2 linked regions of the Tamandua tetradactyla genome follow. The protein of the gene in region 2 binds, or shares a complex with, the protein of the main gene of each other region. Links are inferred from orthologs where the notes say so. Each region holds a gene or a part of one and is shown on either strand. Other genes may lie near its edges.

Region 1 (9,608 bases), on a different chromosome or scaffold from region 2:
GTCTGCAAGTGACCTGGCTTCCTATGCTTGCAGTAAAACTCTGGTGTCACTAATAAAATGCTGTTGTTTGCAAACTCAGTTCCGATTTGTCTTTCAAGAAGTTTGAAGATACAGAAGGTACCTTTTGGGACTATGGGCTCTGGCAACTGGCCAGGTGAGGCACACAACAGACCCTTTTGTGTCAGCTATCCAATCACCAAGACTCTAAAGCACCCAAATGTCAGCTTGAAGACACTTTCAAGATTATTTTGGGAACTTAAGTATGTAAGTGCTTGCAACTAGCTACAGGTCAGAGCTTCATTTTCAGCAAAAATAAAATTAAATAAAGGGACTTTAAATGAGAAGTAAGATCTAGGTTGCCTTTCCTGAGATTGTTTTATAGTGAACACTAAATAACTGTCAGCCAGAGAACTGATATTCTAGAAGAGACATCAACAAAAGACTGCTTTAGAACCTAGATTGAAAGCACCTTATCAAGTCTTACTGACCACAACTATGGCAGTTAAACTACAGAGAATTTACCCCAGGGTCCACAGGACTCAACTTAAACATGCATCATGCCCTTGAGAAGCCACTCCCATTTCAGATCTCAAGTTAAAACTAACATGAGGATTCCACAAGCAGATGGCATCTGATGTACAGAGCTTTGGCCCAAAAGGTCAGAACAAGGAGATGATACTCAATATCACAAATCAAGACATGCCTGAATTTCCTTATTTTATTCTGTCTCTTCCTTTTCACCATCTGTCTATACTGTCTCTTATTCATCCTATATGCCTTACAATGTCCAATCTCCATCCCCAATAATCCCCACCCTTCACCATGATTTTCTTTTATTTCCTCTTTCTCCTATTTCTGCCCTATGGACAATTTCTGTCCATCTGGTATACCACACAACAAATGGAAACAATCAGAGTCACTGTTGGGTCTGTGCCTATCCCCCTCAGCGTCCCAAGACAGGTAGTCCTCTAATAACATCCTCCTTACACTTGTACACCTGGCCATGACAGAAAACTTCAGATACCCAATCAGACAGATCTCCTTTTTGGAATGGCTCTGGGCTGTGCGTTGAGAGCCCCAGAGACTGGAATTACAATGTGACCTCTCTAACCCAAGGAATGTGGTGTTTTTGCTAGAAACCAGACAGATAAAACTGGCCACCCATAGGGTATAGTAGGTGTTCAATTTCTATTTAAAAAAACTTCATCTGTAGTTTGTACTTATATATCTTTCAAAGCTTTAAGTATTTGCAAGATCAAAATAAAATCTAAATTTATAGAATGCCTACTATATGCCAAATGCTCTTTATACAGTAACTAAGTTAGTCCTCACTCAGCTTGGAGTGGGAGCTATTTTACCTAGGAGGAAAATGAGGTTCCCAGAGGCTAACTAAGCTGCCCACAGTCATATGTTAAGTATTGAGGATGTGATGTGAATCTAGGCCTTCCTCGATTCAGGGAAATCTTGCTGACTTTGGATCAGTAAACTGCACCACCACCTGCTGCCCCCCACAACCCTGACTCTTAGCAGGAGCTGAGAGTGGGAATACTTTCTCCAGGATATAGAAAACACATTTTTTTTTTGCTGCCCAAGATCCTGAAGTTAATAGCTAACTGAAGCTTTCTGCTGTTGACTATAAGCAATGGGTGTCATTTCATCCTCCACAGCAGAGGTCAGAAGCCAGGAGGTGGCTGCTGGAAGCAAACATAGTTCAGTACCCTCCTCCCCCACCTCTGAGTTGCAAAAACAAATCTGGGGGTGGTGGAGGATCTGCTTAATGGACAAAGTGATAATCCATTCTTTACAGGAAATTCCTCAGACCTCCTCCATCATTGGATGCTTGATTTTGGTCAGTTCTGGCCCCTCTGGGTCTGAGCTTCTCACCTAAACAATGAGTTCTTAAAAGTAGAAATCTGATTGTAAATTTTGACATACAATCATAAAAGTAGAAATCTGAGATGATGGAATGGTAGCTCATGACAAACTATGGGATCTGTTCTATAACTACATGTTGAAGCGTGCTTGAAAATTATTGCTTTTTTCTTTGCTTTGTATATATATTATACAATGAAAAGAGTTAAAAAAAAAAAAAGTAGATGAAAAAGTCCAGTAAGCCGTACAATTCTTTTAACAGAATTTCAACACTGGAAGGGCAGGGATAGAGCAGGGTCACTTTGGCCAGCCTCCTTCTAGTGAAGGCATTCTTAAATATCTGGGATATTCAGTCCTTGATACCCACCCCGGTTACTGGGAGTTTATTAGTACTAATATATTTGAATTCTTGCTATGTGCCAGGCATTTCTAAGCACTTATAGGCATTATCTTATTTAATCTTCACAAAGGGCGATATTATTATCCCTTCTTTACAGATGGGGGAACTGAGCTTGAGGTGAGGTCACTCACTTGGGTCATATAGCTAGAGAGTGGCATGACATGGGACTGGATGCAGACACTCTCCAAAGCCTAATCCTGAACCACTGCAGTCCTTGTTAATATTGTGTTCAAATCTGCATGCCTATAGTTCCACCCCTCTCTTCTGCCCTAGGTCTACCCTAGAACTACCATTTCTTGGGACCGGCTATGTCAGTGGCTATGCTATACATTTGACTATTGTTCTTCCAGTTAATATTAACAATAGTCTCGTGAGGTCAGATTTTTTGGGGGGGGGGGCGGGGCATGGGCAAGCTCTGGGAATTGAACCTAGGTCTCTGCCACAGCAGGTGAGAATTCTGCCACTGAGCCACTGGTGCACCACCCAAGGTCAGACTTTTATCCCCATTTTACAGATGAGTAAACCAAGGCACAGAGAAGTAAAGCAACTTGCTGAGGTCACCCAGCTGGCAGGTGTGGGCACAAATGTTCACAGAAGTTTCTGGGATCCCACAGCCTGTGTAAGTGCTTGTCTGAGAAATCTGAGGTGAGATACTCTTCCCCTTCTGATTTTGAAGGCAGTCTCTGGACTACTATCCTTTCTCCTTCAGCCATTCATCTCAAGAATGCCTTCTTGAGATGTCTTCGGTGTTAATGCCTTCCCCATCCCCATTATCCTCTCCAGAGTCTCTGGTTTGTCAAAATCCCCAGAAATGGGCAAAGAGTATTGTGATCCTCAGGCTGGCCTTTCCCTCACTACCATTCTCCACAAAAACCCTAGTGGCCTCTACAATCTGGTCCCAGGGTGATTAATGCTGTTTTCTAACATTGCCACAGTGGATTTGCTAAGCTGGGAGGGCAGATTCTGTCAGGCTCTTTGTCTATAGCTTGTGATGTCTGAGGATTTGTCTCAAGGAACCTGGCAAGACCCAAGGGAACTGACAACTGAGATGTTTGTGGCTCTGCCCAGGGGGGCGGTGGCTCACCTGTCAGCTCCCCAATGACAGGCTGCTAAGACACAGGGTGTCTGGGAACACTTCTGGGCACTCACTTGGAGTAGAGCCAGGAACTAGACACCGTGGAGGGAAAATGCTAAACACCACCTGACCCCAACCAGGATCTCAGAGAGGCAACTGGAATTGGAGCTTTCTCCCAAGCAGGTGTGACTGCTTTTGCAGGTTGCTTCCCTGTGTGATTAGGCCAGGAAGGACTGGAAGCTGGAGGATAAGGGGCTTAATTTTGGTTCCACCCATCTCTCAACACAATTTTGAATAAATTACTGGGCTTTTAATTTTTTTTATCTGCAAAAGACTTTAATTTGTTATCTACAAAATGAGGCCATGACCAAAGATGTATGTGCAATAAGGCTGAGTGAGCTGCAAAGGCAGGCTAAGACCTGCTCATTCCTCCCCAAACTCTGTCACTGAGTAACTGATGACTTTGAGCAGGACTCTGAACCTCTCTGGAGCTCATGGATTCAGGTTCAGAAACTGACCAGTTGAAAAAGGTCAAAAGTACTGGCGCCATTCAAGTTCGTCCAACACCGACCTGAAAATCTGCCAGAGTGGGCAGGGAAGTGAAGAAAAATATGGATCTCTGAAAACCTGCCCAGTCAGGGTGGCAAGAGTCGGGCTCATAACTTGCTCATAACCACCCCACATTCTTCTTTAAGGTCAGCTCCCGGGAAAGGGGCATCCAGGAGGAAGGTGCAGAACTAAGGTTTCCCATTCCAGCTTGCCACCAATTCTCTGTGTAACCTCGGATGTCTGCCTCCTTTTTGGATCTTAGTTTCCCAGTACATGCAAGGAGGGTTTGGGCTCGTGATCGTTGGAGGCGTTGTAACTCCAGCATTCTGAAGCCTGGCTCCTTGAATCACTTCCTCTCGGTTCCGATTTTCTGGAGGGTCCTAGAAGCTGGGGGGGGGGGGGTAGCAACCCCTGGTCAAGCAGCAGTGCAGCCAAGGCGCGACCCAGGGGCCCCAGGTTTGGGCAGGGCCGGGACGACGCGGCCACTTACCGGCATAATGGATGGCGGGAGCAGGGGTGAAGGGGTTGGCGGTGCAGCCTCCCGGACGCTAGGCAAGTTCGCTGGGGCAGCGCTTCCGGGTGAGCGCGCCGGGAGGAGACGGGCCACTCGGCCAAGCCCCGCCCTCTCCGGGGTCGAACCGCCGCCAGGCCCCGCCCTTTCCGCCGCTGCGCTGGCACCTCCTAGTCGGTGGGCAGATACCGGACCACTACCGGTAGATTCCCGCCAAGTGAATCCCCATTGGCGCTTGGCCATTTTTAGAACGCCTGCTCCATGTCAGGCCTTGTAGTAGGGACTGGGAATACAAGGGCACCAATAGTCAACAGAACAGATTCCATCCCTCGTAAATACATGCACAATACACGGTCTCATTTTTTCGTGATACACAATCTCATTTACTCAGTCAATATTTATGGAGTACTAACCGTGGGCTAGCACTGTGTTAGGCATCCCAAGGTGCTGTAGTGGAAAACGACGTACCTTCGAAGGGAGCGAAAGAAGCAATGAATAATGCAGCCATAAAGGAGCTATGAAGGGTTGTCATGGGAGTTTAGACAAAAGGTTCCTAATTCAGACTGGAGTGCGGGAAGGGAGAGGCGGAGGCTTCTGGAGGATGTAATATCTGAGTTAAAGAGGAAGAATCAAATTCACCTGATGAGGAAGATGAGCTCATTAGGGGAAAGGGAGGTATGGGGAACAGTGTTTTGGGCCCAGGGAACAGCATGAATTAAAAACTGGAAGGCAAAAGTGAGCAGATTTGAGAGACAGAGATATTAAGCCTGAGAGGTAGGCTCACACAGATAAACTATTTGACAAGACTAAAGAGATCCACAGCTATGTGTGGAGACATAGAGGCAGACATGCTCTAGGAAACTTACAGAGAAACAGACATGTGAAAACCTGAAACTTCACACACACATACCCAATACACAGAGAACCAAGGTGACTCTCTCCTTGGAAATATCCAAGGACCCTCCCAGGGGTGGGGGTGCTCTGTCTAAATAGTTTCTCAAAGGTCTTTCATCAAGAATGGCTTAGAAAGCCTGATAAATATTCAGATTTCTAGGCCTCTCCCCAGATACACAGCTGCCTTTTGTGTGTGTGTGTGTGTGTGTGTGTGTGTGCATCAAAGGACTTTTCAATGTGAAAAAATTAGAATGGGCATAGCCCAAATATCACTAAGGATTGGGAGAAGGATCAAAGGAGAAGGAGTTATAAAAGAGACATTACTTTTAATAAATTAGAAAGTAAAAAAGACAACCTACAGAATGGGGGTAATATTTGGAAAACATATATCTGATAAGGGCTTTTTAACTTTTTTTGATAAGAGCTTTTTAAAACATTTTTTACTATGAGATGTAACATAGATACAAAAAAAAGAATACATTTTAAATTACATTTTAACAAGTAGTTATAGAACAGAATTCAACGTTGGGTATGGGTTACAGTTCCACAATTTCAGGTTTTTCCTTCTAGCTGCTCCAAGACACTGGAGACTAAATGGCAATATCAATATAATGATTCAATAGTCATACTCATTAGTTAAATCCTAACGTTTCTTTTATAACTCCTTCTCCTTTGATCCTTCTCCCAGTCCTTAGGGATATTTGGGCTATACCCATTCTAATTTTTTCACATTGAAAAGCGGCGTCAATCATACAGGATACGGGGACAGAACTGGTTGATGATTTTGCAGAGACTGGGGGTTTCAGGACTTATCTGGCCTGGGAACCATCTGAAGTTTTAGGTTTCTGAGAAGTAAACTTGGTGTGTGAAACTTTTGTAGAATCTAAGATACAGCCTGGGTGCTCTTTAGGGTTAATGAGAGTAATGTTAATTAGGATTTGGCAAACCCTGGCAATTAGCAATATCTAGCTTAAGTTTGTGTAAGGGTAGCCTCCAGAATAGCCTCTCCACTCCATTTGAACTCTCTTAGCCACTGACACCTTATTTTGTTACCTTTCTTCCTGCCTCATTTTGAGGAACACTTTTAGTCCTCCTTCCTCTTGTTTCGAAAGCCCCTACTAGAGGAAAATTATAGTATAACACAGGGAAGTTTTTTGAGGGAGTGTGCTGGTTATTAATTTATTGCTGCTCAGCTCCAGATTCATCCTTTTTGCCTGCACTGTGAAAATGGATCTGGGCCCTTTAAATTTATTTTGTCCTTTACAGCTGGTGAGATGTTTAACTTTTTCGGTTGAAGGTTCTGGAGAGACACTGACTGAAGAAAAAGTTTTCCTTCCTGTTTCCGCTGGGCTGATTCACCAGGGTCCTGCAGTATGTGTGGCTCTCCCAGCTCCTGTGGATGGCTTCTTCGGGACCAGGCCCCTGCTTTTAGCCTAGGGACCAGCAACACCTGGCTAGCAGTGCCCCACTTACCCCACCTCAAACCCTGGTAGAAGTGGTTTTGAGCAGAGTTTCTCCAGTAAACAGCTCTGTGTAAACAGTTTTCTTCAGCACTTTAGAGAATGGATTTCTAGCCAGTTCCACCAGTGCGGCCCCAGGGTGTGGGCCACAGCTATGCCATCTCGAACAAGGTGTTCATCTCAGGCTGAGGGTGGGGCAGGAAGGGAGGCGCTCATCGGGTGTTCTCTTTCAGCCCTCTGGTTAGTGGCTGCTCCTTATATCTGCTATTCCTGTATTCTTTAGAGCTCTCTTTACTTCTTATTAGCCAATCCCTCATTACCATGGCATCTTGTTATAATAATTCTTTAAATTTTCCTTGTGCAAATTACCATGTGGTTTTTCTCTCCTGATTAGACCCAGATAGACGGAGGGATTAACAAAAAGCTACTAACTTTGGTTTAGGGAAGAGGATAATGGTTCCTAAATTCAAGGAACACAAAATCAAAGGAACAAGTCTAGGCCAGGGGCTAGTTTGAATCTTACCCTTATCATTTACCAGGTGTGTTACTTCAACCCTTTAAGTCTCAATATGCTCCCTTATTAAAGGGGATAGTTAAGGTGACTTACAATTTTTTATGTAAACCTTTTTTTTTTTTTGAGACTGAAAAAGGATGTCATTAATAATTATGCCAGGACCATGGGCATATAACTATGACTGCTCCAGGTAAATCAGGACATATGGTTCCTCCAAAGAGACCTACTTTGTAGCATCATTGGGAGGAATAAATATGATAATTTATGCAAACTGCCTTGTGCATTGGTTGGCACATGGTAGACATTAAAGAATATTACAACTCTTCTACAAAAGAGTTCTAATTGCTAGAGCCCCTGCTGGCAACTTGGCAGGCAGTCTTCCCCTACTGGCAAAAATGCTCACCTGTTAATCCACTGCGCCGTCCCCACCATTTGCCATTTCCTAAAGCCAAAAATTCTTTTTCCCTACACTCTCTAAATAGGTGGCAGACTACCCATTCTACATCTGTTCTCCTGTAGGAAACATGTAGGTGTGGGAAGGTGATCATCATTTTACTCCACATGGAGAGATTTTGTTTGGGTGGGAGGAAGGGAGAAAGAAGGGAGGAAAGAGGGTGCTATAGGGCTGGTAACCTCAGGTCTCAGAAGGCACGGCTGAGAACTTTGGCAACACTGGGGGACAGTTGTGCACTGAGGCTGGGGATAACGACATCCCTGTGGGGGTCAGGGGGTTAGGGAGAGTAAATCCTTCACAAAGCCAAAAGCAACAGTGACAAGGCAAGCCAATCAAGGCAAAGGAAGAGTGGGTGGCTCAGAAAATGGGCAATGGGGAGTTAAGCAGGGAGAAAACAATTTAATAAAGCAGCAGCATCATGGAAACCCATTATAGGTGGCAAATGAAGGCCTATCAAAGGGGAGAGGAAAATGCACAGGATTGTAGTCCTATATAATTATACACATAAAATCCATTTATTTATAATAAAAATAGACTAAAGATATACTATAGCAATTTCTACTAGAGGTTATTTTGGACAGGTACAGGATCAGAGGCAAAATTCCAATGTACATGTTGTGTTTAAAAATTTTCAAATAGCACAAAAGGGTATACACTGAAAAATAGGTCTCCCTCTGTGGTGGTTTATGTTTCAACTTGGCCAGATAATGGTGCCCAGTTGTCTGGTGAAGCACTGGCCTAAGCATTACTGCAAGGACATTTTGTGGACTTAAATCATCAGTAAGGGGTGGGCCATGGTGGCTCAGCAGGCAGAATCCTCACCTGCCATGCTGGAGACCCGGGTTCGATTCCCGGTGCCTGCTCATGCGAAAAAAAAAAAAAATCATCAGTAAGTTGATTGCATCTATGACTGATTACATCTAAATTAACGAGAGTATCTTCAGCAATGAGAGAGATTTAATTGAATCAGATGAAGGCTTTAAAAGGAGAAGTCAGAAGAGAGAATCTCTCACTGCACTTCAATGAACCAGCCTCTCCTGGGGAATTCATCAAAGACCTTCATCAGAGCTGCCAGCTTGCAGCCTGCAGTCATAATTTGGACTTGTGTATCCCCACGGTTGCATGAGACCCTTTTATAAAATCTCATATTTACAGATATCTCCTGTTGGTTCTGTTTCCCTAGATAACCCTAATACACCCTCCTACCCCGATTCCCCCTTTCATAAACAAAATGCATATAACATATGTTTTGCACTCTGATTTTCTTATTTTACAATTAATTTCCTTCTTTCTTTTTGGTGCCATGTAATGTTCCATTATTCAGTAATCTTAATTTATTTTGCCACTCCTTATGGCAGAGACCATTTGTTGGCTAATCCAACAACTGTTCCCGATCTTTTACTCTTGCTACTATTGATGCTGAAATATCTAAATATGCTTTTCCAGCCTCCCTTGCAGCCAGGTATGCCATTTGATAGGGCTGTAGTCAATGAGACAAAAGTAGAAGTCTTCTAGGAGGCTCCTGGGAAAGCTCCGGCATTCCTCACCAAGGGAACAAATACCACTCCTTTCTCCCTTTCTGCTTAGAACACTCTAGAATAGTGTCCACCATCTTGCAATTAAGAGAATCACAGAGATGCTAGTCCTGACATTGTGGGTACTGGACCAATGCCAGCTGCAGCTTATTTCTAGGCTTGTTACATATAGAAAGATATTTTGTAATTTGATGGTTGAAAAATTAACTTCTTTTCACTTTGGTTTCTCCATCTGTTGAAATTAACTGTTGTGAGGATTCATATATTATTCTTGGTCCTTTCTTCCTTTTTGAATTTAGAGTGGTATAAACTTTATTATTATTATTTTTTAGGTGCATGGTCTG
Region 2 (9,838 bases):
TGTACAAACAAAATCAACTAACCTAAATAACCAGGCTAAAACAATTTCCCTGAGATGTGAGATAATACATTTATTTCAATTAATAAACTGTTAAATACACTCCTGATTATCAGCTTGGAAAACTGGATTTCTAAAGTAAAAGTGGGCACAATTTTTGAAATATCTTGAGACATAGCTGAATAATTCTAAATATGGGCAGAAAACATGGAACAAGTGCAAAGTGGTTCAAAATGGAGATATTTTATCATTTCCTTCAAGGAAAGAAGTATCTGTGAAAAATTATGTACCCTACCAATATTCTACACATGTGAGCTCACAAAGATGAGGAAATCACTTCAATTTGCTAACAGTGCTGAAGAAATCAGAAACATATTTATGAAACCAGAAATACTGTCCCTTTCACTTTAATGAAACACATTCTAAATGAATTTTGATACTTCTGCCATACTATCTCAGCAAATCAGCAGGTATCACATTACATCAACCTGAAGACTGACTGAGATTTAGAAGTGAAAAACATAATTGCTGGGATGGTAGAATGAACTGAAATTCTCTGTCTGACTGCTGGCTAATGCCTCCCCCTGTCCCTGCCACTATCTTGCCTTATGTCCTGTGGAAAACTGCTGTTTAAAAAATCACTGTTAGAGTTGAGACTTAAATCTACAAGTCACCTATACCTCATTCCACCATTTCCTTACACATGTTCTTTGACTAAGCACGTAATCAATTTGTGCATGCCAGGTGATATAATTAGATCACCTCTAATTATATCATCTGGGGCCACTCTACTCATTATCCTAAACCCTGCCCATCTTTTCTCTAATAAAACTACCAGAATTACTGCAGTTCGAGGAGACAGATTTTGGATAGCTAGGCCATCTGCTTTCCTACTATGCGCCTAGTAACAAACAGTTTCTCCTTTTGAAAAAAAAAAAAATCACTGTTGGGACATGACTCCCAGGGATGAGCCTGGTGCTAGCATCATGGGATTGAGAAAGACTTCTTCACCAAAAAGGGGAAGAGAAATGAAACAAAATAAAGTTTCAGTGGCTGAGAGATTTCAAGTGGAGTTGAGAGGTCACTCTGGAGGTTATTCTTATGCAGTATAGAGGTATCCCTTTTCAGCTTTGGGGGTTTTGGAGTAGCTAGAGGGAAAATACCTGAAACTGTTGAAGTGCAATCCAATAGTCTTGATCCTTGAAGATGACTGAATAACTATAGAGCTTTTAAGGTGTGACCCTGTGACTGAAAATCTTGTGACTGACACTCCCAGCATATGGACAGACGAGTAAGAAAAAAAACAAGACAAAGAATAAATAAATAATAGAGGGGAGTGGGAATGGGATGTTTTGGATGTACTTTTTTACTTTTATTTGCACTTCTATTATTATTTTTATTTTTTGGAGTAATGAAAATCTTCAAAAATTGATTGTAAAGCCCAAATAACCCTAAAGAGTAGGAGAAAGATCAAAGAAGATGGTGGAGTTATAACAGAGAAGGTAAGGTTTAACAAATGAGTATGATTGCTGAATCATTATTTTGATATCTCTTTAGTCTCTAGCGTCTTAGAGCAGCTAGTAGTAAAAACCTAAAATTGTGGAACTAACGGTAACCCATACCAAGCTCTGAAATCTGTTCTACAACTAATTGCTGCAGTGTGCTTTGAAATGTATTGCTTTTTTGTATATATGTTATTTTTCACACAAAAAAGTCAATTGTGGTGATGAATGCACAGCTATAAGATGTACACCTTGGATGATCATATGGTATGTGAACATATATCACAATAAAATTGCATTAAAAATTCTTTTGAAGGAAAAAAATCACTGTTTAAAAAAAACAGTAAACTGGCACTTCTTTTTAACAAATATGAGTAGAGGAAATTTTAAGACAAAATTCCAAAATATTATTCTCATCTCTGCCAGTGACTGTATCACCTCAGACAAATCTTCACTTCTCACAACTTATTTTCCCAATGATCAAATGAAGATTATTTTCACTCACCGGGGTGTTAAAAGTCTTGATTAAAGTTTGTCAAGAATTTTTAAATACATAGATAAAAGCAGTTATATCAAGGAATTTATAAAAGAAATGTAGAACCTTCAAGCTCTCACAGAAGTAAAGGTTTTACTTCTGTGTTAGATAGGATTATTCGTGCTCTGTCCCTCTCTCTTTCTCTATCTTTTAAACAAATTCCACTGCTTCTTTATGGATTTTTCAAAGAAAAACAACCTGCTGCATTAGAGAACACACCTGTTAACCTATCCTTTGGGGTTATTTGTGTTTTACCTAATCCTAGGTGAAGTCCAGAAATCAAGATCATTTTAAGACTGTAATTGGAAATGAATAGTGTCTATCAAGGTAAGAAAACCAGTAGAGAAATCAATTTGGAAAAAAGAGAGCAAAAATTTCTTTGGAGAAAACCTGAAACAGCTCCTGACTTTACAATATTGTTATTAATTCCCAGCAACTTTAAAAAGTTTTCCAAATTATATTTAAGATGCAACACTTAATCAGAATGAAAGTATAGCAAGCATTATTTTTTCTTTTAGATTTTTAAAAATTTTTATGTATTTTTATTGAGATATCTTCACACACCATATAATCCATCCAAAGTATACAATCAATGCTTCACAATATCATCACATAGTTATGTATTCATCATTCCTTTTAGATTTGAGTTTACATCAGAATTAAATCTTGTCATTATGCATTAACATTGTTTTTGTCATTTCCCTTTGTGTTTTTTCCATGTATAGGCTTTTTCAATTTTTGGCTGGAAGGTAATTGGTTATAGTTGTAAGCTTACCATATTTACGGCTTTGTAGTTTTTTTTTTCCCCCTTTAACCAGTGACATCTTGGAAGATGTGAATGTACTGGAAATAAGGAAATTGACTTGACAGTGTAGCCTCCAAGACTTTGCTCATGTTATTTCTTCTACCTAGACTGTCTTCCTCTCCCTCCATTTCCACAAAGCTAAATCCTATCCAGTTTTCAAGGCCCAGCTCAAATGCTCCCTTCTCCGGGCTCTCATAACACTTTCTGGTTCTAACACACAATGTAAGTGTGATAAAAAGTGTTTAATCATCTTTCCACTACATTGTGAGATCCTCCAGTACAAAAACACCTTCTCATGAAAGTTTGAAAAATAAAAATATATATATATTAAAAAGTTCAAAATATCCTTTTAAAAGGATGAGATAAACAGTCTAGTTTCAATCAGTGGGGTTGATAGAAACCATTGCCTTCATTATTAGCCGAACTCATCTAACTTGATTGTAAACTCTTTTGAGGTCAGGCACCCTGTCTTATTTCTTGAGCAGCACCCCTCCCCCCATCTCAGTATCACCTAATTCAATTTTGAACACAAATGAAGTCTTATTAAAAAAGTAATACTACTATAGATGAAGAGGCTATGATTAAAACAAAGTTCAGATCCTGGAAAACCAACTGTGAAATGACAGAAAAGTGCTGTCTACAACAGAAAGTATCAAAGATAAAGATGCAAAAGGATGGGACAAGGATGGAGACTAACTTTTCTGGGAAAGGGACACAAGATCAAAATGAAGTGAAAACTGCACTCTCAGTTTAGTTAATGATCTCAGAGGGAAACAAGAAGCAAAATGCCTAGTTTTTAATTATTTTATTAATAATGGTGACCTTAATAGCCTTAGTTTCCAAAGTATAAAGGTGTGTCACTAAGCACAGACCCTAATCCATGAGACCTCCAATACTAGGCAAAGACCTCCTCATACCCTCAAGAGGCCATGAATGATCCAGAGAGTAACGCGGGTCATGGGAAGATAAAACTTACGTGCAGTAAATAACCAAATCCTGAAGAAGTGAGAGTTTGGAGATTGCCCCAGATTAAAATGACCTTCTCACCAAACTCGGTTGTTCAGAACACCCTATCCAGTAGAAGAGGATGATGGGAACCCGATACAGGACCTACCTGTGTGTTTCTGTTCTATGGTAAAACCTCCGGAGCTACGCTGACTGTGGCACGGATAAATCCAACAAGCACGGGTTCCAATCTCACACACGGGAAGAAGTCACAACGGAGGGAATGACTGTGACGGTGGCGGCGACGGCGGCGGCGGCGGCAGCAGGAGCTCCTCCCTCTGCTTTTACTCTTCCTCCACCCACTGCCGCCGCCGCCCGCCTTTACCTGTCCCTCCCCAAGCTACCCTACTTCCGGGCGATGCCCCAGCCGGAAGCGAGGCTGACGTAGGAGGGAGCGGCAACGTGTCACGTGAATGGGGAACGCACAGATTAAAGCCAAGCTTCTCCCGCCCCCTGCTGCCGTTGGGCTGAGGCGCAGCTAGCTTCAGGCGGAAGTCATCGTTTTGGCGCTACCCATCCTATTGCCCTCGTCCGCCACCAAAAAACCAAAAACCAAACAAACAAAAACAACCAGAGTGCTTCTGTCACCTGTAGTTTCTTAACCTCAAGCCAGATTCTTAACCTCAAGCTGTTATTGTACCATATGAACGTCTTATAAATCATCTTCTACATATTTCATCCTTTCCCAGCATGAATTAAATCACTTTTTTTTTGGTGTAACCTGACTCCACATGTAAATGCCACAACTAAGAACTTGCCTTCACCCTGCCATTAAAAAATGACCAAGGAGGGGGAAAAAGTCTTGTATTGAGGTTTGAGGGGGAGATCTACCTTCACATAGCCAACCCAAGCTTTGAACCGCTTCCCCCCATTTAACAATTTCGGTAATCCATCATTTTAAACACCTAGAAGATTCCAGGGATGCAAAAAAATATTAGAGTATCTATCATCATGAGTTGATGAGAGCCATAAAATGTAACAATGCAATGCAACAAACAAGTGATAGAGAAACCATTTGAGGAAACAGTATATTCTTTTACTCCTGTTTTTCCAATCTTACTTTTTTTAATCTAGGACTTAGCAAAATATAAATATTAACAATAAAACGGGGAGAGGCTTACTAATCTTACTTATTTTCGAAGCAAGATGTGGTCTTTTCATATTTCTTCTCAAATCCGTATCTTAATATGTAGGGTGAAACTAATCACAGGACCATTTGTACTTTTAACTGGAACCATTTGAACCCAGTTCTCACAGAAGAGCACCAAGTCTGAAAATGTTGCAGAACTCAAACTAGTACACAATATACAAATATTAAATAAGTTAATAATTGTAAAAGGCTTAGAAAAGTCTCTGGCACACAATACACATACCTAAGTGTTAATTTCCATCCCACCTGTTGTCAAATTCCTATTAAGCCTTGACAGACATTTAAAACCTCCCAAACCAAATGAAATTTTAGAACTGAATTATATATTTCAGAAACAATTATCCCTTCCCTCCCCCTTACACCCACCAATATAAAGTCACAACTTGGTTTGCAACTATAATATTAACTCTGCTTTAAGCTTTCAAAGAAATTCACTAAAAGGCAGAAAACAGAAGTATCACCTTATCAGAGGAACATCAAATCTACTAGCTCTCTAGTTCTTTTATACAAATATTGAAGTTTACCTTTATGGGCCACAGGATCCTCTACAAGTCACGTACATTTAGGCACTGAGCCTTTCCTTCACTCTAAAATATCTTGTATCTGTAAATGCATCATCCTAATCCCCTTTATCAATGCATAAGCATATTAACATTTTTTCACAATTACTATAGATATATATTATTTTGACTGACCTTTCAAATTAAGCATATATTCAAGAAGTCTGGTTTGCTGGTGTCAGATAATTAAGTGCCCCACAAACGCTTATTAGATAGTTTTAATACCTCGACTAAAGTTATTTGTCTTCAGGGTGTGAACTCAACTGTGCCTCTACACTATCACAGCACCTAGAGTGTTGTTTATTAAATCAATTTTAAAAGAACAGATCACAGGTGCTAAAATAATTGTTTTAAAATGAAATTAAGAATTATTTATGATTCACCCTAATTAAAAAATACTTCATAGCCCTCTAACAACACTGTAAAGACTGACGATGCTTCTAAAATAGGTCAATTACCTAAATTCTTCAGATATACATATACTTAATAGGAAGACAATTTGATGACCTTCCAACTCCAGGTATTAAAACTCTTAACTGAGGTGATGTGCTATGGGATAAGTTTAGTACATTTTGTGTGAGAAGATAAAATTTTGTACCTGAATGTGTAAACTGCAAAACCAGAATATTCTGACGGCATAAAGAATTTCAAGATTTAACTACTACCATTCTAGTAGTGGCCATGATAGTTTTAGAATTAATCATTAGGACAAGGTTAGTTATAAAATTAAGTTTTAGAAGCTTGCTCTCAGTGATGAAAAGATAATTAATGGGAGACTGAGAATTCCTTGAAGACATGTTTATTTTGCTTAATCATATCTCAGGATTACATGTGAATAATACTTAGAACTATTATGAGGAACATTCTAAATATGAGATATTTGTCCCAAATTTTTTTAAATAATGGTACTAGTTACCGGTTTTGTAACCTACTTATTTTGCAATAAATTTTTCCCACTCAAATCATGTAATTATTGACTTTAGTGCATTTGATGAGAAGCTAGGACATACTATGAAAGCACTTCTAGTATTTCACAGTAAGCAAAAATACTTAGAAATATTTGGTTAAGTTTAAATCCTTATATACATTAGGTAAATTTGGAGATTCCCGAAAGCCACTTACCTAAACTTTTTATAGTTATCAGATAAGTGGATTTTAGTAATCTCTAAATCTAGCTAATATAGGCAAGTTACTCAACTGAAATTTCATTTTCTTCATATTTGACCATTGCCAATGCACTACTGCAAACTATTTTATAAGCCTTCAACCAAGGAAGTAATGAAGCCCTTGGTGCAAATATTTTCTTCAGCTATACATGAAATCCCTTATCATATAATGAATTTAGGATAATCTACAAAATGAAACATTGTTATAATTACAATAAGGCAACAGAAGAGGTCACAGATAATTGTGAATCAACTATTTTTTATGTCAGTAAACTGTTTTTGACAGAACACTTCTTTAGTAACATTTTCAACTTCTCTAAACAATGCTATATAAAGCTCTAAATAAGTGTGCCAAGGAAGCAAGGAGCAGGCTAGTTTTCAAATATCCTAGTAATTTTCTATGACCACTCTTCCATTTGATTCTGATGACATCTTAAGTTCTCCAGGCAGGAGTGAAAAGAACTTAATGGAAATTCCAAACCTACACATAAATGAGGTACAAAAGGATTAAGTGTAACCAAAATCTGGATACCAAATTTTTAGCTCAAAGATGATTTAAAATACCTCTTGAAATCATGAGCTATAATTTCAGACTTGTAGGTGATAGCCAAATTTTCCTTTTATACTACCTTACAGAGAAAAGATATTTAAGAATTGTATAGCATTTAGACTTTAATATTAAGACAAAAGTTAAATAAATGAAAAGTGATCAAACTTGGTTTCATTTACAAAGGAAATAAAGCCTCCGATAAAGGTTTCAAATGTACTTTATTTCTTCAACAATGTCATATTTTAATGGGTACACAATGCTTTTACTTGTCATGAATTATGAGTTGCTTTTGAAACATTTTGGTATCACACCAGCTGGGATGATTACTGATCTCTCCATTCCTTTGGGGTGACTCTGCCAACAGGGGACAGGTTCCATTCTATTCCAATTTGTGTTGCTGTCTGTAAGAATTAAAATGTTGTCAGTTACACATATTTAACTCCAAGTCCCCCTTCTCTCACAGCCCATTTCTTGAAAGTGACAAAGATATTTTGCTCTATAGGTTAGAAATACACAGACACTCATCTGAGATATAGCCCTCCAACAGATTAAAACAGCAGTGCTGTCCAATAGAACTTTTCTGAGATGATGGAAGTGTTCTAAATCTTTGATATCCAATACAGTAGTCATTAGCCACACATGGTTACTAAGCAAGTGAAATGTGCCTAGTATGACTGAGGAACTGAATTTTTAATTTTATTTAATTCAAATTTATATGCCATAGTTCTATAGTACTTGCTCAAAACATTGTTTCTTTCCATTACAACCAACTAAATAACCACGAAAGAGCTAGTTTTAATAGCCCTTCATTCTTAAGGACTTTATTTCTAAAAGCTCCTCTGATGACACATTTGTTCAACATCTGCTTATCCTTCTAATTATGTACACAATTATTTTAATAGTAGATCTGATTTCAGGATGATCAAGTGAAGAATGGAAAAAGTGTACTAAATAAAGTTTGTTTATCAAGGCAAGAGTTGATTTACCATTTAAAACCAATATAAACATTTTTTATAATTTCAGATTTTCTATTTTTAACCAACAAGAAGAGTGACTGCTAAGTATATTATTAAATATACAGATGTAAAAAAGCTAAAATATTGAAAGCAAATTACTTTACATCTCATCCATCAGAAGCACTGTCCTCAGTTCCAAGCATACAATTTTAAAAGAAAAACTGATAAGTGGACTGTGTCCTGGACGGTGAAAGTCCTGGAAACCACATAGCAAAAAATGACTGATAGAACTTAGGATGTTTAACCTGAAAGAGATGATTCAGAGAAAGAGATGATTGCAATTTTCTAATATCTGAGAACTGTTACATGGACATGGGATCCAAATTTCTATATAGCAATAGACTAATGGGCAGAATTTGAAGGGAGGCAGATTTTAACATACCCTTTTAACATCTACCTTTTACAGGTACATGACATGAAAATGGCTGCTCCTGATCCAGTAAACAACTTGTTATTGAAAATGGATGAGTACTGAATGTGGAAGAAGAAATTCCTGCATTGCTTAATCCTAACTATAATTGTATGCTACTGTGTTAAAATGTGTTGAATACACGTGCCAAAGAGGAATGAGAAACAACTAAAACAGAAATTACTAATCAATAGTACTTACATATGTCCATACAGCAACACAGAAAGTAGCTCCACTAGCTAATACAGCATTACCATATTTGTCATGGAAATCAGGTGCGCGTTTCTGGTGGCTCAGCCTTGCCATTGTTTGCTGAATGCTTCGAACTTAAAGAAAGAAAAAAGGAATACGGAATCATATCTATCAATTATCAGAAAAAACAGAACTATGTGACTCATACTGCCAATCAAAGAAGCCAAGGAAATTAACTTTACAGTATTATGCAGTGCAATAAAATATTAAAACACTGTAGTTAAAAACAAAGTAGCATACTTTGAAATACATCTAAAATAAGACTGATGGATAGATAATGTGATAAACACAGCAAAATGTGAACAGGTGCAGAATCTACATGATAGGTATATGAATGTTCATCTGAAAGCTCAATTTATACAATTCTTCCAACTTTTCTGTAGTATGAAAATTTTCATAACAATGCTGGGGAAGAATGCAAAGAGGTGATGTTAGTCCATTCACTAAAAAAAGATATTTGTATAACCTCTGAAATTTGGCTCCTATTCATTAATTTGAACACTGATGTCTTAAATTTTCACTAATGTTTACTCAACAGTGTTCAACAACTCACAATATACAAGGGTAAATAAACTCAAAATAAACAAGTTAAAGCACACTAAATATTTATGGCCATAAAAAATTTTAAACCTAAAAATCAGGGCAATTTTGATTTTTAAAGAAATACTGATGAATAAGGCATCATGCTAAAAGAAATGGAGTATATAAAAATGTGTAAGACGCAGACCCTGTCGTCAGGTAACTTCCAGTATAGAGATTAGATATGTAAATATGTATTACTAAAGTACAAGGAAGTAGAATTTTAGCTAAGCAGTTTGAATGATAAGTACAATTTGATAATGAAAATGTGGGAAGGGAAATATGGACAAAGACAGAAAAGCCGAGCGTACT

Evidence for each region.
Region 1: the proteins of ATP7A (region 2) and ATOX1 are in contact, whole or in part, in an NMR structure (PDB 2K1R), measured with the Homo sapiens proteins. The link is inferred for Tamandua tetradactyla from reciprocal best matches to the Homo sapiens genes ATP7A and ATOX1. Residues at the interface, in NP_000043.4 of Homo sapiens: Cys19, Asn20, Ser21, Cys22, Trp24, Thr25, Gln29, Asp67, Asp68, Met69, Gly70, Phe71, Asp72; in NP_004036.1 of Homo sapiens: Thr11, Cys12, Gly13, Gly14, Cys15, Ala18, Arg21, Val22, Lys25, Lys57, Thr58, Gly59, Lys60.

Annotation. Positions count from the first base shown.
Region 1 is NC_135346.1:32,592,774-32,602,381, forward strand, and holds the start of ATOX1 (copper transport protein ATOX1), read right to left. Parts: upstream 4,553-9,608; 5' UTR 4,393-4,552; coding exon 4,387-4,392; intron 1-4,386. UniProt on the Homo sapiens protein: Binds and deliver cytosolic copper to the copper ATPase proteins. May be important in cellular antioxidant defense.
Region 2 is NC_135353.1:92,589,979-92,599,816, forward strand, and holds the start of ATP7A (copper-transporting ATPase 1), read right to left. Parts: upstream 4,202-9,838; 5' UTR 3,954-4,201; intron 1-3,953. Other genes in the region: COX7B (cytochrome c oxidase subunit 7B, mitochondrial), read right to left, coding at 7,594-7,671, 8,897-9,021. UniProt on the Homo sapiens protein: ATP-driven copper (Cu(+)) ion pump that plays an important role in intracellular copper ion homeostasis.